7 linked regions of the Sus scrofa genome follow. The protein of the gene in region 1 interacts with the protein of each later gene in a pairwise test. Links are inferred from orthologs where the notes say so. Each region holds a gene or a part of one and is shown on either strand. Other genes may lie near its edges.

The links.
Region 2: the proteins of TXLNB (region 1) and USHBP1 interact in binary tests that used the Homo sapiens proteins (3 or more experiments, as listed by UniProt). The two-hybrid records come from large-scale screens. The link is inferred for Sus scrofa from reciprocal best matches to the Homo sapiens genes TXLNB and USHBP1.
Region 3: the proteins of TXLNB (region 1) and CEP57L1 interact in binary tests that used the Homo sapiens proteins (3 or more experiments, as listed by UniProt). The two-hybrid records come from large-scale screens. The link is inferred for Sus scrofa from reciprocal best matches to the Homo sapiens genes TXLNB and CEP57L1.
Region 4: the proteins of TXLNB (region 1) and WASHC3 interact in binary tests that used the Homo sapiens proteins (3 or more experiments, as listed by UniProt). The two-hybrid records come from large-scale screens. The link is inferred for Sus scrofa from reciprocal best matches to the Homo sapiens genes TXLNB and WASHC3.
Region 5: the proteins of TXLNB (region 1) and LURAP1 interact in binary tests that used the Homo sapiens proteins (3 or more experiments, as listed by UniProt). The two-hybrid records come from large-scale screens. The link is inferred for Sus scrofa from reciprocal best matches to the Homo sapiens genes TXLNB and LURAP1.
Region 6: the proteins of TXLNB (region 1) and DEUP1 interact in binary tests that used the Homo sapiens proteins (3 or more experiments, as listed by UniProt). The two-hybrid records come from large-scale screens. The link is inferred for Sus scrofa from reciprocal best matches to the Homo sapiens genes TXLNB and DEUP1.
Region 7: the proteins of TXLNB (region 1) and MBIP interact in binary tests that used the Homo sapiens proteins (3 or more experiments, as listed by UniProt). The two-hybrid records come from large-scale screens. The link is inferred for Sus scrofa from reciprocal best matches to the Homo sapiens genes TXLNB and MBIP.

What each region holds. Positions count from the first base shown.
Region 1 is NC_010443.5:25,266,603-25,270,102, reverse strand, and holds part of TXLNB (beta-taxilin), read right to left. Parts: intron 3,171-3,500; coding exon 3,051-3,170; intron 1-3,050. UniProt on the Homo sapiens protein: Promotes motor nerve regeneration. May be involved in intracellular vesicle traffic.
Region 2 is NC_010444.4:60,418,129-60,421,628, reverse strand, and holds part of USHBP1 (Usher syndrome type-1C protein-binding protein 1), read right to left. Parts: intron 3,319-3,500; coding exon 3,069-3,318; intron 1,417-3,068; coding exon 1,198-1,416; intron 10-1,197; coding exon 1-9.
Region 3 is NC_010443.5:75,169,600-75,173,792, reverse strand, and holds the start of CEP57L1 (centrosomal protein CEP57L1), read right to left. Parts: upstream 2,801-4,193; 5' UTR 2,538-2,800; coding exon of another isoform or gene 2,534-2,537; coding exon 2,411-2,533; intron 1-2,410. UniProt on the Homo sapiens protein: Centrosomal protein which may be required for microtubule attachment to centrosomes.
Region 4 is NC_010447.5:82,154,140-82,158,072, reverse strand, and holds the start of WASHC3 (WASH complex subunit 3), read right to left. Parts: upstream 2,801-3,933; 5' UTR 2,695-2,800; coding exon 2,644-2,694; intron 2,333-2,643; exon of another isoform or gene 2,221-2,332; intron 2,080-2,220; coding exon 1,981-2,079; intron 1-1,980. UniProt on the Homo sapiens protein: Acts as a component of the WASH core complex that functions as a nucleation-promoting factor (NPF) at the surface of endosomes, where it recruits and activates the Arp2/3 complex to induce actin polymerization, playing a key role in the fission of tubules that serve as transport intermediates during endosome sorting.
Region 5 is NC_010448.4:165,194,692-165,198,191, reverse strand, and holds part of LURAP1 (leucine rich adaptor protein 1), read left to right. Parts: intron 1-3,068; coding exon 3,069-3,500. UniProt on the Homo sapiens protein: Acts as an activator of the canonical NF-kappa-B pathway and drive the production of pro-inflammatory cytokines. Promotes the antigen (Ag)-presenting and priming function of dendritic cells via the canonical NF-kappa-B pathway.
Region 6 is NC_010451.4:25,831,394-25,834,893, forward strand, and holds part of DEUP1 (deuterosome assembly protein 1), read left to right. Parts: intron 1-499; coding exon 500-613; intron 614-2,554; coding exon 2,555-2,797; intron 2,798-3,500. UniProt on the Homo sapiens protein: Key structural component of the deuterosome, a structure that promotes de novo centriole amplification in multiciliated cells.
Region 7 is NC_010449.5:63,657,882-63,662,022, reverse strand, and holds the start of MBIP (MAP3K12-binding inhibitory protein 1), read right to left. Parts: upstream 2,801-4,141; 5' UTR 2,716-2,800; coding exon 2,587-2,715; intron 1-2,586. UniProt on the Homo sapiens protein: Inhibits the MAP3K12 activity to induce the activation of the JNK/SAPK pathway. Component of the ATAC complex, a complex with histone acetyltransferase activity on histones H3 and H4.

The sequences.
Region 1 (3,500 bases):
AAAAAAAGTCTCTAACTCAAGCATGAATCACCTAAAATTCAACCTCCCACCAAATTCTGGAACCTTAGCAATCCTGCCCAAGCATCATTCAGCCTCTGCTTGAACATTTCTAGAATATCCCCACCTGGGCCATGGCTGTGAGCAACTATTCCTTTATATTAAACCCAGTAATTCTTTCATATTAGAGCCTTGTTCTCCACCATAGCATGCATCAGAATCTCTTTGGGGGCATGTTAAAATGCAGATTCTTCTCAGATAATGTAATGAGTATACAGAATGAGTATAAAGGATGTAGGAAATATATAATGTGATTAGAATCTATACCTAAAGCAAATACCCAAGCTGGTTTAGATGTTGGTGGTCCATGGATTATGTTGTGAGAAACAGCTGGTTAGAAATTTGACCTGTTATTCTAAGTCCTGTATAAAGTTTGCAAAAGAAGTCTCATCCCTCTTCTATAGAAGGCAACCCTTCAGATATAGCGAAGGTCCTCATATCAAACATGATTAGAACTGGAACTGATGGGTTAAACTGAAAATGTTATTTATGTGTAAAAGTGACACACACATTTAAAACATGTTATTTTAACTTAAGATGTATGTTCATTTATTTATAAATTTTGATGTTGGGTTAATCTTTAGATGTTTTGGATATGGATCTTCTGATTGGAATTTAGAGGGTTTTTGCCAGTTTTTGTTTTTATAAAAATTATATCTATAAAATGTCATATATAAGATTTATAATTTTTTTATTTTTTATTTTTTATTGTCTTTTTGCCATTTCTAGGGCCGCTCCTGCGGCATATGGAGGTTCCCAGGCTAGGGGTCTAATCAGAGCTATAGCCACCGGCCTATGCCAGAGCCACAGCAACGCGGGATCTGAGCTTCGTCTGCAACCTACACCACAGCTCACGGCAACACTGGATCCTTAACCCACTGAGCAAGGCCAGGGATCGGACCTGCAACCTCATGGTTCCTAGTCGGATTCATTAACCACTGAGCCACGATGGGAACTCCCAGATTTATAATTTTTTTTTTAAACAGTAGTGCTGGACCCTAAAGACCTAAGATATTTGGAAAGCAGCTTGATTGGATAATTCTCTAGAGTTTTACAGTTTTCTTTAGGTCTTGTTTTATAATTTTCTTTAGGTCTTGTATAGCTTCTCACATCTAACTTGACAGTTGTTCTTTTGCTGTTTGCCTACATCTAGTCTTTCAAAGCATCAAGCATGGTTTTCATAGAGATAACTCTTTCTTTTCACATTGTATTTTATCAGTTTATGTATCATTCTCTTGATTTACATGATGCAAAACCAAGGATGACTGGAAAGAAAAGGTTTGGGAGCAAAGACTCCATTCTTGGTAAGCACCATCTTACTTAAGTTGGACAACCATGTGTGACTTTTCCAGAGTGGTTAACTAGCTACAGGAGTTAACCTGCTATGGAACTGTCAGCGTGGTTACACAGAATGGTGAACATCATGGATAGCCTGGTTAGTCAGATGGTCATCAGTTAAGTTTCTATTTTATTTCAAGACAGGCTGATATAATTTTTTTCCTTTTTATTTATCCCTATGGTTTAACAAAAAAAAAAAAAAAAAAAAAAAGGTCAGTTTTGGGAACCAGAATGAAAAACAATGAAATCATTATTTAAAAAAACTTGAAGGCTTCTTTTTTCTTATCCAAGTTAGTCTTGACCTTTCCATTTATAACAGGGGGTTATACATGTTCCTCTATGCCTCCTAGCGAGCAGTGAAGATCAGTTATTATTGAAGTGCAGCTAACTCATTGTATGAGAGGGCTGAAGCAGCTGTGGATTAGAAGATCTGCAGAGCCCCCTCTGGCCATCTGAGCTGTGTGGCAGCAAAGTACATGGCCAGCCCCTGCTTTACACTCAGGGGCCCTGTTGTGATGGGTGGTCCCTGACAAAGAGGGAGGAAGGAGGCTGCTTGTTCTGCTTGGGATGAAGGAACCACCCAATACCCTCAGCCCTGATTTGATATTTCATCACTTTCAAAAAGAAGTGTCAGAGTTGGAACCCAGGTAAGTGACCACCTTTGAAGAACTAAGGGTGACTGTCTTTCTTTGATTCATATCTGCTGTTTTGCTAAATCAGGGTAGGAAAAGAGAGTAGCATGCTAGCAATTTGGTAAGGTTGAGTCACTCTGTGTTTGCCCCCCAGTCTCTTTCACATGAATCTTTGCCTAGCTGTTCCTCTGTCAGGTCTCATATATTAAATATCAATGGTACTGATACTCTGTAGGAATATATTCTGTAGGATGCCAAGCTGGTTTCAGCATCAGGACCTTTGTCTCTGCTACAGATACTGCTTCTGGAGACCTTCTCTCTGACTTCTTCTCATCAGGCAGGGCACAGCAGTCTAAAGTAAGTCCCCTCGATTTCTCTTTATTTTTGTAGTAGCACTTATTATTTGAAATTATCCTTCCTTATTCCTTTGCTTGTTTATTGTGCATCTCTTCCCAGTTAGACTCTAGTCTCCATGCTGGGATGTGGCCTTCTATATTGTTCACTGCTACACCCCAGGACCAGGAATGGTGCTTTGCTTATAACAGGTGCTGGAAAAAGGTTTGTTGAATGTATGCATAAATATTTTATGCAAAAAACAGCATGGGGGAGTTCCTGTTATGGCTCAGTGGGTTACAAACCCGACTAGTATCCATGAGGATGCGGGTTCGATCCTTGGCCTCGCTCAGTGGGTTAAAGATCTGGTGTTGCTGTAAGCTGTGGTATAGGTCACAGATGTGGCTCAGATCCTGCATTGGTGTGGCTGTGGTGTAGGTCAGCAGCTATAGCTCAGATTCAACCCCTAGTCAGGGAACTTCCACATGCCCCTGAGTGTGGCCCTAAAAAGGAAACAAACAGTGTGGGTACAGGGCCTCCTACCGGGCTGGCCAGTTTCATTCTCCAGGGAAGCTCAGGCTCTTTCTCCATCAGCCTAGTGCTCTATGACCTTTGTCAAAAACCATATCCTCAGCGGTTCTCTGACCCTGAGGCAGACCAGACATGCACATAGACGCAGGTGATAAGTACATATTCCTTCTCGCGTTTGTGCCGTTCCTCTGCTTCCTTCATCATTTCCTGTGCCTGCTCAAGTTTTGCATCCACCAGCTTCTGCTGCAGTTCTCTGTGTTTAAATATTTTGTCCAGATGCTAAGGAAAAATAAAGTGCACATATCAAGCTTGACTTTTTATTGGTACTGAAAAATGTAAAATAAAAAAAGTAATGTTGACATAAACACATGTTCTCTGGATTTTAAGATTATAAAAAAGAGAGGAATAAATGCACTGGCATCACTTATGATTTTATATAAAAGCCATTAATTGGCAGAGTCCCCTGCATTTTGCATTACACAATAGTGAATGCAAAAGGTGAAGGTTCAGCAATGCTAACTCCAAAAGGTCCCAAAGTATTTTCCTAAATTTGGTAACTGTTAGATATGATGCTAGTTATTATGCTAAACAGCACAGACAGTGATGTGT
Region 2 (3,500 bases), on another chromosome or scaffold:
AGGCAGGCTCTGTGGGAGGTAGAAGGGAGGGTAGCGACATTAGCATAGCCTGAGTGTGGGCTCAGCCCAAGCTGGACACTGAAATCACCCAGAATGTTGTGGCCACGTGGCCACAGCCCTCGCCTTCAGAGCCCCCACTCTGGTTAGGTACCTCCATAAGGGTACAGGTACTCCCTAACAAGGGAAAAAAATTACAGGGGATCTCCTTTTTAGGCAATCCAGGAGAACTTCCTGGAGGAGGTGATGTCTGAGTTCAGGCCTGTAGGAGGTTGAGAATTTAATTAGATAAGGAGGGAAGTGACTGGTGTTCCCAGCAGGGTCACAGCATTTCTAAAGGCTTGGAGGTAGGAGAGGTGATTCAAAGGAAGGTTCCGGAAGCCACTAAGGCTTTAAGCAGAGAACAGGCATGATTAGACAGTAAGGGGCAAAAAGGAAAGCCTCAGAGAGGAAGCTGGAGCCAAAACTTCGGAAGAAATGAAGCATAGGCTGGGACCGTTGGAATGGAGAAGGGGAAGTATGAATAAGACTGGGGGTGGGAAGGAGGAGGCACAGGTTTGAGTGGAAGACACTAAATCCCTTGGGGCTTATTGGGCTCAATAAATACCCTCAAAGAAAGAAACCCCAAAGTAGAAGTGGGAATTTTGAAATGTAGCTTAACCATTAGCTCTTTTTGTGTGTGAAGAAATGGAAACTGAGAGGTTCCCGTCATGGCTCAGCGATAATGAAACCAACTAGTATCCATGAGGACACGGGTTGGATCCCTGGTCTTGCTCAGTGGGTTAAGAATCCAGGGTTTCCATGAGCTCTGGTGTAGGTCACAGATGCAGCTCAGATCCTGTGCTGTGGCTGTGGCCTAGGCCGGCAGCTGCAGCTCCAATTCTACCTCTAGCCTGGGAACTTCCATATGCTGCCTGTGCAGCCCTAAAAAGCAAAAAAAGAAAAGAAATGGAAACTGAGACTCAAAGGGGGCTATGATTCTTTTTTTTTTTTTTTTGTCTGCACCCACAGCATTCGGAAGTTCCCAGGCCAGGGATTGAACCCACACCACAGCAGTGACCTGAGCCACAGAGGGGATAACACTGGCTCCTTAACCTGCTGAGTAACCAGGGAACTCCCCAAAGGGGGCAATGATTAACCGGAACCACACAGTCACTAGTATACAGCTATTCCTACCAGGTCCAGGCACGGCCAACTCACCTGGGACCACTCCTCCTCTCCGCTGGTCGCGCCTCCACTGCTGTCTTCACCGCTGCTGTTGGCCTCACCCGTCTGGAGCTGTGCCCGCTCCCAGCGCAGCTGCTCCAGCAGGAGTACATGGGCTGGGACCTGTGCTCGGAGGGCAGCCTCTCGCAGCTCCAGAGCCCGCTTCTCCCGTCGCACCAGCTGTAGCCTCAGCGTCAGGTCAGCCAGGGTCTCCTGGCAGACCAGGGAAAGGGGAGAGAATTTTCACCTCTAGGGTCAACTGCTGGGGAAACTGAACTCCAGGGGGCACCCACTGAGGGCTGGTCAGGCAGGAACACAAACCGTCCCTGTGATCTTGTCTTTTTTCTTTTCTTTTTTTTTTTTTTTTTGGTCTTTTTGTTATCTCTCTGGGCTGCTCCCGCGGCATATGGAGGTTCCCAGGCCAGGGGTCGAATCGGAGCTGTAGCTGCCAGCCTACGCCAGAGCCACAGCAACGCGGGATCCAAGCTGCGTCTGCAACCTACACCACAGCTCATGGCAACGCCAGATCGTTAACCCACTGAGCAAGGGTAGGGACCGAACCCCACAGCCTCATGGTTCCTAGTCGGATTTGTTAACCACTGCGCCACGACGGGAACTCCTTCTTTTCTTTTTTTAAGGCCCGTACCTGTGGCATACGGAAGCTCCCAGGCTAGGGGTCCAATTAGAGCTGCAGCTGCTGGCTTAGATCACAGCCACAGCAACTGGGGATCTGAGCCACGTCTGTGAACTACACTGCAGCTCACAGCAATGCGGGATCCCTAACCCACTGAGCCAGGCCAAGGATCGAACCCGCATCCTCATGGATATTAGTCAGGTTCGTTACCGCTGAGCCATGAAGGGAACTCTCCCTTCATGATCTTGCATGATGGGAAATATCATCTTCCCATTAAAAACAACAGCTTGTGAAGTTCCCGTTGTGGCTCAGTGGTTAATGAATCCGACTAGGAACCATGAGGTTGCAGGTTCCATCCACGCCCCTGCTCAGTGGGTTAAGGATCCGGTGTTGCCATGAGCTGTGGTGTAGGTCACAGATGCAACTCGTATCCCACATTGCTATGGCTCTGGTGTAAGCTGGTGGCTACAGCTCCGATTGGACCCCTGGCCTGGGAATCTCCATATGCCACGGGTTCAGCTCTAAAAAGACAAAAAGACAAAAACAAACGAACAAACAAAAAAACACAACAGCTTGTAGGGAGTTCCCTTTGTGGCGAAGCAGAAATGAATCTGACTAGTATCCATGAGGATGCAGTTTGATCCCTGGCCTCGATCAGTAGGTTAGGGATCTGGCGTTGCTATGAGCTGTGGCGTGGGTGGCAGATGAGGCTCAGATCTGCCATTGCTGTGGCTGTGGCATAAGCTGGCAGCTGCAGTTCCCATCCTACCCCCAGCCTGGGAACTTCCATATGCCATGGGTGCAGCCTTAAAAAGCAAACGCACAAACAAAAAACAGCTTGTAGAAATGCCAGTTCATAGAGAGCAAGTATCCTAAACAAGGTCAAGTAGCAGCTCAGTGGAAGTGTCCGGAGTTTCTCCAAATTCAAAACCTCAGCTCTTTCATGCCAGGCTACAAACCTCAGATTATGGCCCCTTCCTCTTTCTTTTCCATAGGAGGGGCATTTTGGGAAGCTAGATTTGGAATCTTATGAGAAACTGAAAGCCGGAGGACAAATTCCTATTCATCCCTCAAAACCCCAGCTCCAAATCTCCTCCCTCCAGGAAGCTAGTCCCCAGTCCAGCAAAACGCTCCCTTTCTACTGGGTCCCCCAATCACATTTCTCTCTGACTCAGCAAAGAGTTTGGTTCCACCAGGAAAGACTGATACAGTGACCACAGCCCTTGTGTACCCGTGTGGCTGCCAGTTCCTGCTGGATCTGCGTCTTCTCTAGCCGGGGCAGCGACGGGCCAGGCTGTGTCCCCAGAATGGCCTGCACCATGGCTTCAGCATGGGGCACAGTGGACGTGGGTGCCGAGGTAGGGCCAGGTTCTGGAGGAATCTTCACAAGAGCACGGCGTTCCTGGAGACGCTGAACATAGCCTTGGAGCTGGGTAGCCACCTCCTGCAGTGTGGGCTTATCCACACTGTTGCCCTCGCGGCTACAGGAAACAGAAGAGGATCCTATGTCAGCACTGGTGGGCTCCATTGTCTTCCATCCTATTGACTGTGATGGGTCCTTCCTATGCCATCTGTGGTGGGCATGGTCAAACCAATATGGTGGGTACCACACTGTAAACCTCAATGATCAAAATCATCTATCAGTGATGAATGATGGATGAAC
Region 3 (4,193 bases), about 50 Mb from region 1:
GGAGGTGGGTTCCATCCCTGGCCTTACTCAGTGGGTTAAGGATCTGGTGTTGCTGCGAGCTGTGGCGTGGGTTGCAGATGAGGCCTAGATCCCCTGTAGCTGGGGCTGTGGCGCAGGTCAGCAGCTGCAGCTCCCATTTATCCCTTAGCCTGAGAACTTCCATATGCCCCAAGTTCGGCCCTAAAAAGCAAAAGAAAAAAAGAAAAAAAAAATTGTTCCTTCAATCACCTACAGGACCTCCTTCCTCTGTGATCTCATGTTATTCTCATCTCCTGCCACACTGCTATTTGTTAAATGTGGGCACCCAGAGGCTTTTGCACTGGCTGTTCTCTTCACAGACATGTTTCTCCTCCAGGCACCTGCACATTTACTCTTTCCCCTCCTTCAGATCCCTCATATGTTCCCTTCTTGATTAGGCCTTCTCTGACCTTATTTAAAAGAGAATCTTGCCCCTAAAACTTGCCACTCCACATTCCCTTTCCCCGCTGGTTCTTATTTTTCTCTGCAGCATTTGTCTTCACTTACTATATATGCCACATATTTATTGTCTATCTCTCCTTAGCACAATGGAAGACCTATGAGAGTAAAAACTTTCATACATTGTGCTCAATAGTATATCCTCAATGTCCCCTTATACAGTAGGTATTTGATAAGATATTTGTTCAGTGAACAAATGGATAAAAAGGAATATAAGAGCCAGTAACTGAAGAAAGGTCTCCACAGATAGGTGGACAGTGGTGTACTAAGTGAGGCTGGAGAGGTGGAAGGGACCAGATGACATAAGATGACATTTGTAAAGAAATTTTGCCTTTAAAAGTAGGACACACACTGAATGGTTTTAAGTGAAAATGTGAATCTGAATGGATTTGCATTTTGAAAAGATGATTCTGGCTGCTGTGTGGAGAACTAATGGAGAAAGGCCAGAGTGAATAATCACTATTTCACCATTCCTGGCAAGAGTTTATGGCAGTTTAGAAAAGACTGTGCTTATGTAGATGGAGGCAAAGGATGGATTTGAGGGATATTTGGGAGACAAAATTGAGAGTACTTAAAAATAATTTGGCTACAGAGGTATGAAGGACATTAGGAAATCAAGGATAATGCATAGGTTTCAAATTTTCACAAGTGCATGGCAGTGCCCTAAGTGAAATAGGGAACACTGGGAAATAATCAGATTCATAAAAGATACTGTTCATTTGGTTTTAGGCATGTTAAGTCTGAGGTGCTTTTGAGATATCCAAGAAGAAACACCATAGAGATGGGCATAAGAAAGCTAAAAGGTGAAGCTGGATGAAATTATACATTTAAGTCATAGGTGGTGGTGAAACAAAGCTAAAAGGTGAAGTTGGATGAAATTATACATTTAAGTCATAGGTGGTGGTGAAACCATGGCTATGAATGAGATCATACTCAATCACAAAGTAAAAAGGAGACCCACACTTAAGAAACTACCCTATCCTTTGTGGGTTGGACAAAGGAAGATGAGCCTCCCCCCACCCCAAAAGACACAAGAAGGAGTGGCTTTGTTTTCTGAAATCATACTCATAAGAAGGAAGTTCTCATTTTTTAAAATTCTGATTTAAACAAGCAACATTAGAATGTTCTAGGCTTTCCAAATTAAACCAATTCATCAGAACTCTGTTCAAGGATAGGTCACTTTCAGAAACTATCTGGAAAATTCATAGTACGTTTCTCTTTTCTGCTCTTTACTCTTTTCTCTTTGCTGTATTGTACATCAAAACACAAAAAGCTATTCCTCCTGAAATGTATATGATTTTGGCTTATTGCAGTTTCCTGAAATTACTATCTCCCTCACTCTTGGCCTCACCATATGCTGTTCTTTTGACCCTCTTTCCCTGAGATGAAGATTTCCCTGACTTTCCAAGACCGGCCTAAGTGATCTTTCTAGCCATCCTAATAATATCATATAGTACTGTATGTTTAATGTGTGTACTGTACTTTATATATGTATTGTATAATGTTTAACCATTAGTTTAACTAGATGGGAACTGTGCGTTTTCCACTTGTCCAGTACTTGGTTTTTAGAAACTAAGTTTTAGAAACGCATGTATTGTGCAACATGAAAAATTAAAACTAATTTGTTATCAGTCCAGTGATAGCCCTTCAAACCTCAACTTTTCTCAAGAAGAATGACTTCAAACAGCAATATGCAAACAAATTATTTAATCTTTTAAAATTACTAAATTTTAGAGATTTTTATAAGTCTTTTTTCCATATGGTATTCTTAAAGCCTGCAAATATTCATATCTAGGAACACGAGGGATTCTTTTCCCTTCAGTTTTGTACAAAAAGGATTTGACAACTCTCTTTCAAAGTGTGGCACAGGATTTCTTCTGCGCAAATAAAGCCTCAAACAATCCTATGCAATGGCAAACAAAGGTGCACTTACACAGGGATACTGAGTCCATCCCGCGTGAGCCCACCTGACAGAGCAGAAGCAGAGGTAGCACCGCGGAGCACTAGTTTCCACAGCATCCCTCTTGCCTGACCTTATGCAGCTCTTTCCGACCATCCATGTCCTCTCAACGCGCCCGCGGTCTTGGGCACTCGGACTAGTTCTTCCCACGTAGATTACTGATAGTCCCTGGACTAAGGAGTACAGCTCTAAGGAGACGGCTTCCTTTCTAAAATCCCACAGGAAATGGAGGAAGGAAAAATACTGTCAAAGGAAAAGTGTCAGCCAAGCCCACAGTGCTCACCAAGCCAAATCTCTCAGTCAAATCTCCGGCAGCGCTAGCCGTTGGCTCGCAGGGAGCCACAGGCAACGTCGCAGTGGCTCCCGGGAGCTGTAGTTTCTGTCTCAAACAGAACGCGCCTACAGCACCAGAACTACACTTCCCAGAAGTCAATGCGAGGACGCCCTGCCTTCTTAAATCTGGTGTTTGGCGCAATAAAGAGTTTCTATTTTTTCCTCTGATTTTAAATTTTGATTCGAGTTCTTCCAGGAGTTTATCTGTGCCCTCCTTATTTGCGGTTCTTGTCTCGTGTGTGATAATTTCGGCGTATTTCAACTTTTCGTTACCCCCGTTCAGCCCAAAGAAGCCGAACGTCAAGGCAAAAAAAAACCAAAAAAACCAAAAAACAAAAAAAAAAAACGCCCCCCGAGCAGATTCGGTGCCTCTTAAGGCGCATGCGCCCGGCCCACCGTTACGCATGCGTAGCAGCCGTCAGCGGTTGGCGGCCGCTCGCGGGCTCGGGGTCCGGAGGTAGCTTGTTGGAGGGCGGGGCTTTTTCCGATGGCTTTGCCTCAGCGGGTCGCGTCTGCTTGGGCGGGGAAGAGGGCGCAGGGGCAGGGGCAGGGGCGGCTCCTGGCTTGTGCCGGGCGGAGAAAGGGGAGGGGCTGGGGGTGAGGACCCCGTCTCCCCTCCCCGCTCCCGCCCTCTGGGCCGAGCCCCATCGATGGGGCTGGGCGAAGGGGCGGGTTCTGCGCCTGGGGCCCTGCCGCTCCGCCAGCTTCGCGGCCCAGCCCCGCGATCGGGGATTGCTGGGCTGCCCTGTGCCGGTTTGGGTTGGCCGGCAGTGGGCGAGGATACCGGGATTGGAAGAGAAGCAGCGTCAGCCCGTGGATTCTGAATCCGCAGAGCCAGAGACGCGTTCCTCCAACGCCACCACCGAGACAGAGGCTGCACGAGACTGCAGCCCCTGGGGAGCGCCAGGGTCTCTAGCCGCGGCGTCCAGCGAGCCAGGGTTCGGCGAGCCTTTCCAGCCAGCGCCCGGCCGGGCGGGAGGAGCTGCGGAGGGCGGGGACTGGTGCCGGAGGAGGGGCGGGGTGGGAACGCTCCCGAGAACACCGTGGCTGCACGGACAAAAAACACCGAGTGGCTGCAGAGCGTTCAACTGTATCCAGCCTTTTGGGGCAGAGCACGGATTTGACAGCTCCACGGCTTGAGGATATCCGCTGACCCCGAGAGACGGAGAGGAACACTTCCCCGACACTGTCCAGCAAAGCCAGCTCTGTAAGGTTTCAACTTTCCAACTTTTTTTTTTTTTTTTTTTTTTTTTGTCTGACTAGAAGACTGCTACTCCGGGTAGAAGGAGAGGGCGAGCTCTGTCTGGTAGATCGAAGACATTTCTGGTACCAATGTCACCCAGGCTTATGTTTTCGTGACGATTCGATTTTTCTGATTTATTTCTTACATTTCTCGTTTTAAAAATACGAAGTGCTGTGGTGG
Region 4 (3,933 bases), on another chromosome or scaffold:
GCAGAAGTGATTTTGATAACTAGACAAAAGAACAGCTGGAATCTTATACAGACGAAAACAGTTTTCCTGGCTCCATGCAATTTTTATTAATAACATATCTAACAAAAACTATATGCTGATTCCCTACCTTATGTTATATATAAGACATAACGAACTAAATATTGTTTAACTGACTCAGCTGTGATTATCACATTTTCCTCTTTTCTCTTTTTTTTTGGGGGGGTGGGTTTATTTGATTTTCAAAAATTAATAAGATTTTTACAATAGCTTCACAAGCACAAGTTAACAATAATTCAACTGACAAAAATTGGTATTTACTAGTTAACTTCTTGGAAACATTTTTATTGTGTCAATCAAAATGCAACTGGAATGGAGATACATCACATATTGTACAAAAAGTAGGAGAATGGCTAGGACTGGGAAGTCTCTAGGTATTCTCACGGTATTTCATGAAGCAGGCCTTGATTTTTTTTGTTTGTTTGTTTTTTTTTCAGGGATTAAACCCATGCCGCAGCAGCGCCACAAGCCAGACAGTGACAGTACCAGATCCTTAAATTGCTGTGCCCCAAGGGAACTCCAGACCTTGACTTCTTTTTTTTTTTTTTTTGTCTTTGTTGTTGTTGTTGTTGCGATTTCTTGGGCCGCTCCCGCAGCATATGGAGGTTCCCAGGCTAGGGGTTGAATCGGAACTGTAGCCACCGGCCTACGCCAGAGCCACAGCAACGCGGGATCTGAGCCGCGTCTGCAACCTACACCACAGCTCACGGCAACGCCGGATCGTTAACCCACTGAGCAAGGGCAGGGACCGAACCCGCAACCTCATGGTTCCCAGTAGGATTCGTTAACCACTGCGCCACAACGGGAACTCCCAGACCTTGACTTCTTAATGAAATCATTTTAATTTCTGTTTAAATCATCCCTAAAAGCGTATTTAGCTTTAAGTGGTCACTGAACTTTTGGAAAGTAGAATTTGCAAGCATAGAGAAATACCATGATACCAATGGGGGGGTTTTCTTTAACATTAAAGTGTATATGTGTATCCTGTTCCCAATGACAACAATCTTGACTCTTACACCTTTCAGGCAGCAACAATTCCTCTACAAGAACAGTTTCAATTCAAGGATTTGACTGGGGAGGATACTCAGTCAAAGGGTGAACAGTAACTTCAGCACTCAGGTGGTTCATGACAACAAAACGGGGCCCTAGGTTTTGACGCAATCCTCAAGAAGTAAAGAAAACTGAGCAAAAACACCATCTTTTGGTTTCAAAACATTTCCTTGTCCCCTTTCTTCCTTCTTAAACCTAATTTCAACCCATTCTCTTTTTTAGCTTTTTATAAGACAGTCGTCCCTAGATCTGGTACCTAATCTGTAACTGAGCTACTTTATCCTTACTTCATAAGTCATATGCACAAAGTATTTTATTTATTATTTTTTTTTTTTGGCCTCACCTCTGGCATAAAAAAGTTCCAGAGCCAGGGATCAAACATGAGCCACAGCAGTGACAAGGCCTGGTCCTTAACCCACTGCACCACCAGGGAACTCCGTATTTTTACTTTTATTTCCATGATGATATTTGATGCCAAAGTTACATTTCTAGGCTACCTCCTCAATCATCTTTTGGATCAAGCAATGTAAAATAATGTACACCTAAAACGTAAATCTTTGAGGTAGGAGAAACATAACCAATTTCAAAATAAAAAATGTCTTTAACTGTGAAATACAATTATTATCTTCAATTACAGTAAGCCTTAGTGAACTGCTTCACAAAAGTCTCAGAAGTTTAATTCAGCAGAGATGGGCTGCAGGAAGACGGTAATAGAACCAAAGAGGATTTAAGGTATATTAACATAATAATTGGGTGAGAAGAGGTCACGGTATATGAATACACAGACTGTAAATCTTGTTTTAGTCATTTGCTACCTTCAAAAGTGCGAGGTGATATCTGGGCTACACATTAGACCAACACCACTGGACCTACCTCCTCACAAACTGTAGAAAAGCGGTTGAGGAACTGTACAGTGTGCACCACAAATTGGTTTAGAAATGCCACCGTTCTTTTCTGTTGAATAGCTGGCACCTGTGTTGCGTAAAAATAAACATGATCCGTACAGGAGGAAGGTACACCGTGCAATCCCCTCGATATTAATAAAGGGGCGTTTCTCTGTGTGATATGAGTTACTGGAAGTTCTGCCAATAGTCATTAACTTGTTTTCCTAACCTGTGGGGGTGGGGTGTTCAAAGATGACAGATGCTGCAAAGTTTGAGAAAGGGCTCTGGATTCACAAGAGCGAACTTCCGCAGGTATAGGCAACACGTAAACACACGAAAACCTTAAGGGCCGAATAAAAGAGGTAGGGTTAGAAATCGGAACTGGCCCGTGTCGCCAGTGGTTCACCCTTGAGGACAGGGACTCGTGACCTGGGAAGCGAAGCCTGGGAGAGGTACACTACACTGCCCCCGCCCTTCCTTACCTCAGGAGGGACCTCTTTAAAGGGCAAACTATGGGACTCTCCCTCCGGAGAGAGATGAGACAGGCCTAGGACAGCGTTGGGCTTAGAGAGATGTGGTCTCCCTGGGAACCCGGCGTCCCTTCCCCATCCTCCTCCCAGGTCACCTGAGTTCAACTCCATCTTTTACAAACCTTAGTCAGGTCTATGCCTGACCCCATGAGAGGAAGCCCATCCTCATCCATCTCCTCAGCGGGCACGGGACACAGGGTTCACCCACACACCCCTCCCCGACCAGGCCAGCCCAACCCGGTAATAGCTTACGAACACCTCCCCCCAGTCCCCGCCTCCCGGGTTCTTCCCGCCGGAAGGAAACGCCTCCTCTCGCCAATCACTCGGCGGCTTCCGGAGAGCCCACCCCTTCGCAAGGCATTCTGGGATTGGTAGTTTTAGTTCCGGATTGTGACGTCGGACGAAGAGCGCCGAGTCTAGAAAGGGTGAAATTCTCTTCTCGCAAGATTTTAAAAATGGGGCGGGGAAAAGTAAAGCATCCCGACTGTTTGAGGTTATCCCTCTGCTTAGTGTTGTCTCTCGTATAAGGCAGCTGAGGCATTCGTTAATAAAATATATATATAGTTTGTTTTTGTTGTTATTTTTAACATACTAAGTGCCAGATTGGCCCCTGGGCCCTAATTTAATCAGGTTGAGTATATGTATCTATAGAACTATAAAAATATTAACTTATCTAAAATTGGCCAATTAACAGAAATTCTCCAAAGTGGTTTGGTTTCTTAAAAAAAGAAAAGACAAGTATAATTCTGTGAGATATAATTCTAGTTAACGGAAGAGTGGGACTTTCTCATTGCCTCCTAGGATTCTTGATGATACTCTTCATCACTCTTCCATAGCTCCTGAAGGCAGTGCCACTCACAACATAATAACTGAATTTCCAGGGCTGTTAAAAACAATCTATAGCTAGAAGTCTTGGTCATCTTCCTGAAATCCTCTGAAATACCCGTGTCCTTTCTCCAGGCTTTCTCTCATTGGAAATGGATTACCAGATTTCAATTACTGTAGTGCATTTTGGAGACAAAAGAAGTAAATTGTAACGAATACTGATTTAAAAAGGCAGAGTCCATGAATCCCACCTGCATATAACATATCTGTTAAATTAAAAGGTCTTAAAGCATTTTTCAGTAGTTATGTTTTCAGGAGTTCCCATCGTGGTGCAGTGGAAACGAATCTGGAACTAGGAACCATGGGGTTGTGGGTTCGATCCTCGCTCAGTGGCTTAAGGATCCAGTGTTGCTGTGAGCTGTGGTGTAGGTCACAGATGTGCTTTGGGTCTGGTGTTGCTGTGGCTGTGGGTGTAGGCTGGCAGCTGTAGCTCTGATTAGACCCCTAGCCTGGGAACCTCCATATGCCGCAAGTGTGGCCCTAAAAAGCAAAAACAAAAATAATAGTTATATTTTCAGAGCCTGTAA
Region 5 (3,500 bases), on another chromosome or scaffold:
GCTGTGGTGCAGACTGCAGACAAGGCTCAGATCTGGCATTGCTGTGGCTGTGGTGTAGGTCCAAGACTCGGCTTGGATCTGGCGTTGCTGTGGCTGTGGCACAGGCAGGCAGCTGCAGCTATGATTCACCCCCTAGCCTGGGACCCTCCATGTGCCTCATGTGCGGCCCTTAAAAAAAAAAAAAAATTTCCAAGGGAGTCGGGAGTCAGAATGGCAGAAGTTAATGAAGCAATGCTTTAAATTCCAAAGAAATATTATTTTTCAACCTAGATTTCTGTACTCAGCCGAAAGGTCAATAGTGTGAGAAGAGAAAAGGAACTCTTTTTTGGGGGGAACATTTTAAAACGTGAAGCTTCAATAAATATACCTCCTGTGCAGGTATAGTCTGTGCCGACTTTCTCAGGAAGCTGCTGAAAGAAAAGCACCACACATACACATGAGGAAGTAAATCAATAAAGAAGATGTGGGATCCAGGAAAGAGGGGATCCAACTCAGGAGAGAGGCAAAGGGAATCCCCAAGGTGATCGTGAAGGGAGACCCCTGGCAGACAGCCGTGCAGTGGGGACAGGTTAGAGCAGATCAGGAGGCTTCTAGAGCACTGCCTTGAGGAAGACGGAATAGATAGAACATATGTTTAAAAGCCCTGAGGAGTTCCTGTCGTGGTGCAGTGGTTAACGAATCCAACTAGGAACCATGAGGTTGCGGGTTCGGTCCCTGCCCTTGCTCAGTGGGTTAAGGATCCGGCGTTGCCATGAGCTGCGGTGTAGGTCGAAGATGCGGCTTGGATCCCGAGTTGCTGTGGCTGTGGTGTAGGCCGGCGGCTACAGCTCCGATTGGACCCCTAGCCTGGGAACCTCCATATGCCGCGGGAGTGGCCCAAGAAATGGCAAAAAGACCCCCCCCAAAAAAAGAAAAAAAGCCCTGAGAGGGAAACGCAGACAACTGGGAGAGAGTTTAGGGATGGCTTACTGATAACGATATCCCAGACTAAGCCAAGCAGTAGTCGTGTAATAATAACAACGATAATAATTGTTATTTACAAAGGAAAACATAAAGTGTGAGAGGAAAAGTAGCCACAGTAAAACCACACGGCTTAGTTGTGAATAGCATTTCCAATTCTTAAAATGGAAAGGCTGAATAAGTAATTTTATTGCACATTTTGGGGATGCGGGGAGATGGGAAGGGTATCGGGATGGCAGAGAAATAAGGAGTAAGATGAAAGGGTTAAATCCTTAACCTTCCATTGTGTGCAAGGTCAATAGAAAATACCTAAAACTCGGGGTTCCCATTGTGGCTCAGTGGAAACGAATCTGACCAGCATCCATGAGGTCGCAGGTTCTATCCCTGGCCTCCCTCAGCGGGTTAAGGATCTGGCGTTGCCGTTAAGGATCTGGCGTTGCCGTGAGCTTTGGTATAGGTCGCAGATGCGGCTTGGTTCTGGTGTTGCTGTGGCTGTGGTGTACGCCAGCAGCTACGGCTCTGATTTGACCCCTAGCCTGGGAATCTCCGTGTGCTGTGGATGCAGCCCTAAAAAGAGAAAAAAAAAAAAAAAAAAAACCCTAAAACTTAAAAATCAGTAAGTAAAAAAAAAATTAGTTAAGTAGCATATTATTTGAAAATTAGAAAGTAAGTAACAAACAGCTAAGAAATTAATAGTAGATGTCTCTGGGAAGTGGGATTTAGGACTAGGATGGGGGAGCTGATACTTTTCATAATGAATCTTGCAGGACTGTTTGCTTCTTTTTTTGGCCACGCCTCGGACCAGGGATTGAAGCTGCACCATGCAGCGATCCAAGCTGCTGCAATGACAACGTCAGAGCCTTAACCCATTGTGCCACAAGAGAACTCCTCTCTTACTTTTGTTAGAAGTAAAACTAAATAAAATGAAATTTAGAAAGTCTTGCGTGGCAGGACCTGGAGTTCCCATAGAAACATGCTAGCAGTTAGGTTAGAGGGATGCGCAAGAACTGGACCGTGACAGGCTTTTGAATCCCTGCCGCCAAAGTGTTTAGATTTTATTCTCTGAGAGCCACGCAAGGCTCCTACAGGTTCTTGAGCAAGGGGCAGACAGGTTCAGACTTGTGCTGGGGGAATAGAACTCAGTGCATCTGAGCTGGAAGGGACCCTAGAGATTACCTAGTAAGTCAGTCCACACAGGGAGGCCGGGGCAGAGTAGAGGAAAAAGCTCTTTGAAGCTCTAGCCAAGCCTTCCATCCTGTGGCAGATGCTACCAGCATCCTGAAGGGACCGGGGATGCAGATTAACGCCCTCTTTATCCTCCAGCTCCCGCCTCCTTTAGGCCCAGCGTGCTTTCCAATTAACACCTGACCCCTCTCAGGCTACTCTTTGGATGACCGATTCTAAGTCTTTCTGGTGAATCTGGACTGGCTCAATAGTTAATACCCTATCTACGAAGTTCAAATCTTAGTAGGATTGGATTTTAATGCTTTAATACTGAGACCTTACTTTGTGCCAGCACAGTGCTCATTACTCAGTAGACGGCACTTCGAAATTCTCACGGCCACCCTGTGCCATTTATCCCTGTTTCACAAACAGGGAGACCCAGGCTCAAAGAAGCTAAGAAAGTTGCTCACAGTCGTATGGTGGCTGTTAGTTGTCGAACTGAGATTTTAATGAGCAGTCCATCTGCTTCTAAAGCCCACACTCCAATCCATTCTATTTCCATGCTTCTTAAAAGTGAAGCATAGGGAGTTCCCACTATGGCTCAGCGGAAACCAACCTGACCAGTATCCATGAGGAGGCGGGTTTGATCCCCAGCCTCCCTCAGTGGGTTCAGGATCTGGTGTTGCCATGATGTGTGGTGTAGGTTGCAGATGCAGCTTGGATCCCATGTTGCTGTGGCTGTGGTTCAGGCTGGCAGCTGTAGCTCCCATTCGACCCCTAGCCTGGGAACCTCGGTATGTCCCAGGTGCGGGCTTAAAAAGCCAAAAAAAAAAAAAAAAAAAGTGGAGCATACTTGGTTGGATGACAAGGCGGGGGCCTCCAGAAACACTGCAGAAAACCCATGGCGCTGAACCTGGGACTGACTGCTTCTCCCACTCCCCTAGGCTTACCTGCGAGCCATTGACGTGAAGATCCTGCAGCAGCTGGTGACCTTGAACGAGGGCATCGAGGCGGTGCGCTGGCTGTTGGAGGAGCGGGGGACATTGACCAGCCACTGCAGCAGCCTCACCAGCAGCCAATATAGCCTGACGGGCGGGAGCCCAGGCCGCTCAAGGCGAGGCAGCTGGGACAGCCTGCCAGACGCCAGCTCCACTGACCGGCTGGACAGTGTCTCCATCGGCAGTTTCCTGGACACGGTGGCCCCCAGCGAGCTGGATGAACAGGGCCCCCCCGGGGCTCCCCGTCCCGAGATGGACTGGGCAAAGGTTATACCCACTGGGGAGAGGGCCAGGACTGAGCTGGACCTGACAGCTGCCAGGCTAGGGAGTTTGAGGGCTCTGTGGAAGCCCCCAGGGGAGGGGCTCCAAGGTGGACCT
Region 6 (3,500 bases), on another chromosome or scaffold:
CTGCTTAAAGGAGCCCTGAGGTGGTTGTTCTGTTGATGGGTTGATCTGGCTTCACCTGGGACAGTAGCTTTGAAAGCCACAGGGGACAAAGTCACTAAATTAGTCCAAGCCCCACCCCCTCAAAAGCAAGAGAGCAGGTTTGGTGACTGAGTGTAGAGAATAAAAGATGGGAAAAACTTTGGATATCAGCTGAGGAAATAGAAAGGAAGTGTTGATTGATGCAACTCCCTTCTTAGTAAACAGCGTTTGTTAAAAATTTTTGCATCTTTAACAAGTGCTTATTTTTTAAAAATATGAATTAAATCCCATACTTTCCTAGCAAAAATTAGAAGATAAATTAGTAAATCCAGAGTGAGTGATTTGATACTTTTTGTTCTCCTAATGGGGAAAGGTGGATTTTTTTTTTCTTCAGAAGAAAGATGTACAAATGAAAGAAGCCTCGTTCACTGTACTTTGGAATGAATAATTTTTTCAATTTATCTTTCCACTTTTTTAAAAGGAATTTAGAGCAAAGTCAAGAGAATGGGACAAGCAGGAGATATTATATCAGACTCATCTGGTTTCTGTAGATGCTCAACAAAAATTGTTATCTGAGAAGTGTAATCAATTTCAGGTACATTATCTAATACTATCCTCTAAATTAGAATAAATTAGAGGTTAAATACTATTATTCCTCTTTACCATTCTGCAGATAGAAATGCCAACTAAGGGAAAATAATGAGTAGTTCCAACACTGGGTAGAGTTTACAAGGGTGTGAAATGTCTGTAATGGTGACTTTAGTCTGTATGTCTCAGAAGATGGTTTTATTAAAAATGTCCATTGTTGGAATACCACTCAGCCATAAAAAGAATTAAATAATGCCATTCACAGCAACATGTGATGCAGCTAGTGATTATCATACTAAGTAAAGGAAGTCAGACGGAGAAAGACAAATACTACATGATATCACTTACATGAGGAATCTAAAATGTGACACAGATGAACCTATCCATGAAACAGAACCGGACTCACGGACAAAGAGAACAGACTTGTGGTTGCCACGGGAGGGGTTGGGGAAGGAATGGAGTAGGATATTGAGGTAGCAGATAGAAGCTATTATAAATGGAGGGGATAAACAGGTCCTACTGTACAGCTCAGAACTGTGTTCAGTGTACTATGATAAACCATAATGGAAAAGAATATTTAAAAAGAAATCACTTTGCTATACAGCAGAAATTAACACAACATTGTAAATCAATGATACTTCAATTCAAAAGTGTTCATTGTGGAGTTCCCATCATGGCTCAGTGGTAACAAACCTGAGTAGTATCCGTGAGGACACGGGTTTGATCCCTGACCTTACTCAGTGGGTGAAGGATCTGGTGTGGCTGTGGTGTAGGCTGGCAGCTATAGCTCTGACTCGACCCCTCACCTAGGAACCTCCATGTACTGCGGGTCAGCCCTAAAAAGACCAAAAAAAAAAAAAAGGTCCATTGTTATTATGTCATTAAATAACATGTTTTTGCATGCCTATGATCAAGTCTCTTAGAAAGTCTTAAATTTGCTTGGTCCCTGCCCCCTAGAAGCTTAGTCTAGACACAGACATAACACATGTACAGGTTTACAGATAATTAATGACAAGTGAAAGGAAAGGATCCAAATCCTTTTAGAGGTGGAAGGAGTGAGAAAAATTTGGATTTAGGAAACATCCTCCAGCAGGGGTGGGACTAGGCCAGGATCTTGAAGGAAGGATATGTTCTAAGAGAGAACGTATTCCAGGTGGTGGAAATAACGTTAGCAAAGCTGCTGAGGCAAGAGAGCAAGTGCAAATTCGGGCAATGGAAAGTGGGCCAATCAGATTTTTAATAAATATTGGCAGATGACTTCCTAAAAGAAGTTAGTAATTTAGTTTCTCAACAGCCAGCAAAACTACCCAGACTCTCACCAGAAGATCAGTCCTTTGATTTTTACCAACCTGATGGACCAAGAGTAATGTTGGCTTGATTCGCTTTGTGTTTCTCTGACTGCTTGTGATGTTGAGCATCTCTTCATGTGTTTCTAGACTTTTTCATTTTCTCTTCTGTGAATTGCCTGTGCATAAATATTGTCCACTTTTCTCTTGCGTTGTCTTTTTCTTAGAAGTTTTTGTGTACCAGAAGTTACCCTTGTTACAGGTGTTGACAACTTTTTCCTACAGTCCATCGTGTTTTCTTGTTTGTTATTTTATTTATTTATTTTTTTGGCCATAGAGACATTTTCAACTATTGTGTAATAGAATCCATATTTTCCCCCCTTTTTAAATATCTTCTCTATTTTCTTTTTCGCTAAATAAGAATTCCCTACCCAAAGTCCTCTACCCTACTCTACATATTTGCTCTGAGTTTATGCAAATATATATTCTCTTTATGCCCTCTGAAATTGAAGTTTTAGAATAAACACAAGACTGAATTATGAAGAACAGTTTCATTAATAATATAAATGTTTTTTCCTAATTCTTCTCTATCATTCTTGAACTTTATGTAAGCTTAAGTGTTGTATTCCCCACTCAACTGACACAATTTTCATATTTCTCAGAAACAGGCACAAAGTTACCAAACTCAACTAAATGGTAAAAAACAGGGCATGGAAGACAGCAGCTCTGAAATTCCTCAGTTGCTATGTGAACCAGATCACAGTTGTGAAACCACTGAAAGAGATGAGTTCATTATTGAAAAATTAAAATCAGCTGTGAGTGAAATAGCATTAAGCAGGAATAAGCTACAAGATGAAAATCAGAAGCTCTTACAAGAACTGAAAATGTACCAAAGACAGTGCCAGGTAAAAGATTTATTTTTATTTTTAATTGATAACTGCCCATGAGTTGTATAAATGATGACCCAACAGGTATATGGAATAGAAAGCTAATTTTTTATTACATGTATAATTTTTTTTTTTTTGGTCTTTTCTAGGGCTGCACCTGCGGCATAGGGAGGTGCCCAGGCTAGGGATGTAATTGAAGCTGTTAGCGGCCGGCCTGTGCCAGAGCCACAGCAACGCCAGATCCGAGCCACGTCTGCAACCTACACCACAACTCGCAGTGAAGCCAGATCCTTAACCCACTGAGCAAGGCCAGGGATTGAACCTGCAACCTTATGGTTCCTGGTAGGATTCGTTAACCCCTGAGCCACGATGGGAACTCCTACATGTATAAATTCAGCTTATCTTTTCTCTTACCAAGTAGCTCTCATTTGATGAGTAAACTTAGTAATCCTGTGGGTACTTTACTCCAACAGGTGCACTTGTGTTCTGCAGTGGTGTAATAGTATCTTGCCAGTGCAGTGTAACAGTGGTCGCTCACAGACCTCTAGTCCTAAAAAACCTAGCCCTTTAGCCACACAGCACCCTGTGTCCCCATCATTCATTCTCTTTGACCCTGTGCCTCTTGGACTCAGGAATCCTAGGATGAAGATCCAGGAAATCATTTAAGGTTCGACAATCTGATAACCTCAGTGGGGACCAGGGGAGGCATTCCCTGTGATAT
Region 7 (4,141 bases), on another chromosome or scaffold:
ATAAAGATATATTACTTTAGTTCAAATATAGATCTTATGAATTGTGATTACAATATAGCAAAAAGATGAATGAATCACTGTACAAAAAACTGAAAAGATATGAAGTTCCCACAAAGGCACTATATTGAATGCTATATGAAAGAAATTTCCACCCTTTGACCAGGAATATTTAAAGTCCATATCAGACAAGCATAAGGAACTAAGTTTTGTGTAGGCTGCACTAGCAGATGAGTTTATATTAATTTAACTAAAGTTTTACATTAAGATTGCTACATTAATCTTAATTAATTTAATGCCTATAAAGATTTTGTTAGACAACAACTTATGTATGAAAGTAAACTATACTTTCACAGTTCCAAAGAGATCTATAGTTGGTTATAACAAATTTATATATACATTTTGGGATAATGCAAATCCTCAACCAAGACAAAGCAACAAATTTACCAAATAGTAACTTATAGAAATTAATTTATGTTTGGATCATAGTCTCATTTCAATACAGCAGAATTATGTAAGCTTTCAAGTGAAATTCAAGATACTTGGTCTTTTAAGAAAACCATATAACAACATTAAAAATTAACTTTAAAACTATCCCAATACATTCAATTATTATTCAACAAATTCCCTATTAGTAATATGAATTCTATGCATTTTTAGGCTATAGAACTTGTAACTCTAAAACATTCACTCGAAAATGTATAAGTCAGCCATTAATATGGACCATTTAAAATATGCATTTCAGTAAAAACTTTATAAATATGAAAATCCAAGCTAATAATAAATAACTCTTCAGCTTGTAAAATGGACAATCCAGAGGCAAGTAATAAAGTTAAAATTAGTAAACTGGAAATCTAGGATAGAAAATACTGTTTAAACATTCAATTTTATGTTTCCTATTGAGGAGAGCTAATAATACAATGATACTATATAGAATGAACTAGGCATTTTACAACATACAGTTAAAGAAATTCCTTAAACCAGTTTCAAAAAAAAAATAATGATTCCCACTAGGGGCAATTTTATAAGTATAGTACTCTGGCTTTCATCCTTATCTTTATACATCTCAAAATATAGAGTATTATCAAAATGGCTAGCAGTTAATTGATGAGATGATTTTTTTTCCCCAACACTTGTATAAATGGTTCCTTCACTGTCAATAAAACTCACCAAATATTTAAACATTTTTGAGGTGACATAAATAATTTGTAATCATACTTTTCCTACAGAATAGTTGAATGTTTAAAATGTTAAAATAAGTTTTAAAAATTCAGTATGCCAACTGTTTCAAAAATGTTTAAATTATTTCTTAATGTTATTTAAAAAAATCTCATCAGTGGGGGGAAGTCTGTAAACTACAGGTGAGCATTAACCTTTCATCTTGACATTAGGATATAAAAAAAAAAAAACCTTAAAGTTCCAAAGTCACATCATAGAAAGTTCTCAAACTTTTAAACCATTTAGAGGTTTTAAGTCTTGACACTGAAATATTAATGTCCCTGTCTCAAAAAAATATTTAAGTCCTTGAAAAACAACTCTTTTAGCCGATTCTATTGATAATTATTCGCTTACACCAAATTGTGTATTTAATTTTGAGTAATACTCTTTTTAAGTCAGAATATATTAGAATTTTTAAAAATACTGAAATAACCTTTTAAAAAACTGATTATCCATCCACCGAAGGCTTTTAAAAGTAATTTTCACAAATCAAACGCTCTATTTTCATAAAGGATGTTACCATTATCTTCCACACAAATACCTAATCCTATCTAAGATTTAAAAAAAGATTTCCTTTTAAAAGCAGACAAACGGTATTTTCAAGTTCGCATTTTAAATTTCCTTTACATCTTACATCATGAAACGAAATAGTGACTTCACTGGAACAGAGTAAAGAGCACTTTTATTTGTTCGATTCTATAATGATATTTCTACAAAAGCTATTTATCAGCCAGTTAAGCTAGTTAATATTTAATAACTTGTCAACAGTTGTGATGCAAACAGTATAAACCAGGGATAACTTATCCAACTTAACACTAGAAGTGGTTGAATTAATTCCTTTTCTCTTCCTTCCCGTTTTGAAAGGGGAAGAGATGCAAGCAACAGCCAGAAAGAAAGAAGAAATAAACAAACCCAACTGACTCCTAACGGTAAATCACCCAAAAAAGGCGGAGAGGGAGCTTTTCCAGAAATCTCAGGCCGTAGACTAACCTATCAATTTCTATAATGAATGAATTGGAGGAAAAGGGATCCACAGCGCTAGGCGCCTCCCAAACCCTCACAGCTTTTCCGCACGCATTCTCTTCGAGCTTGTTTCTCTCCTAGCGGGGTTTCACTTACACTATCCTCATTCGCTCTTGGGGAGAAGAGTTGCAAAGAAATCTAGCCTGCAACCGGTCTTGAACTAACCCACGCGCGGCCAGCCTCACTTAGACCACAGGCGGCCGGGCCCGAGCTCCTCCCCCAGCCTCGGCTATTCTGGGCCGGGTCCCACACCCCGCAGGCCTCCGCCGCCCCCGCCTCCGCCGGAGAAAGGAGAGGGGGAGGGGCCGGACGGTTCCCAGATCCCTACTCCCAAAGCCCACCACTCACTTGTCCAGCAAGGGTATGCAAGGAGCGAAAGACTTCGCAGACCACCTCTTGGGAGAGGTTGGGGCTGCAGCTCCGCTCCATGCTCCTGTCACCGAGGGTCGCGCGACTAAGCTCAGCGGCGGCAGCCATGACACTTTCGTAGGCCACCCCCACCAGCACCAAGGTGTGCTCACAACACACCCCTCCCTCTCCTGCCTTCGTCGCTCCCCGATGATGTAAACACACTGCGTCTCATTTAGAGCGAGACTGTAAGACCCCACCTTCCCTACATGACTGACAAGCATGTGCACCAATAAGGTGCAACTACAGCATTCCTTCAAGGACCGTGAGCAAGAGATTGCCAACCTGGGCTTGGCTTGCTGCAATATTTGAGATGGTGATTTGGAGTCGTTATCTAATGAGAGTTAGCTTCTTGAAGCTTAGCTTGACGCTTAGATGTTGATTATGAGTGTTGCTAAGAGAAAACTTGTAGTTAAATGTTAGAGTTTTAGTACCAAATTAAAGTTGAGATTTTACCACGGCACTTTAGAAAGATCGCTGGTCAGGGACGCAGTGGATCCACACATATTTCTAAACACTGAAAACACACAGAATTGTCATAATTGGGTAGAACATTTTCGTCTATACACAATTTAACATCACTTTTTTTTCATGAGAGAAAGAGGAGGATATAACCACCTCCCCCCCAAAATACCCCTCTTTTATGCCTCATTTACTATCAAGGGAATACTACTTTAAATCTGCAAAATAATTCTGTCAAGTTTTAAAACTTGCATAGTTGCTGTTCTCTGAGTGATATGGTATACACACTCATCTAAAACTGTTTCAAAGAAAACAATGTCAACATGATTCCAACAGGAATTTAACCCAAATAAGTAATTGCGTGAACACCATCTTTGAAAATAAAGATAAATCCGAATTAAAATTCAACAAGTTATTATTTATCCAGATAACTGTATTAAAAGATATCTGAAGGGCTCTGTAGTATTCCGGGGTCAAGCATTGAAAATTTTGTTGTCCAATTGAAAAAAAAAAAAAAGTTTAGACGAATGCTTAATGTTAAACTCTATTCAAAACCACTTGAAAAATAAACATCATGTTTAGATATGAGGGATGAAAGATTTAAAATTCTTAATTCTAATTGTCTAATGCGTTTACAGTAGGAGAAGCAGAGTTGGAAACTTGCACAATGTGTATTCTTCAGTTTTAGAGTAGGCTGAATGAAAGGGGAGGAATAAACCATCAAGGAACTTGGATTAGGGGCAGTAGAGATAAAAGAATGCCTTTGACCTGTCCCTAGGGAGCCTCTTAATTAGGCTTTCATTTCCAAGGATCAGCAGGCTTGACAGGATCTTAAGTAATCTCGTCCGCTCCCTTGTTCACAGCAAGATATAGAGTTTATAATCCAGCCTATGCCTAGAGACATCCAGAAACAGATTTCACAATATCTAATCCCAAATTGAGCAACCTTCTTCCCATTCAAGCTACTCTTCCCCGTGTTAACCTAAATCCAAGAGTCTTTGCAATGTTAAGGTATTTTCCTGGCCTCTAGTTC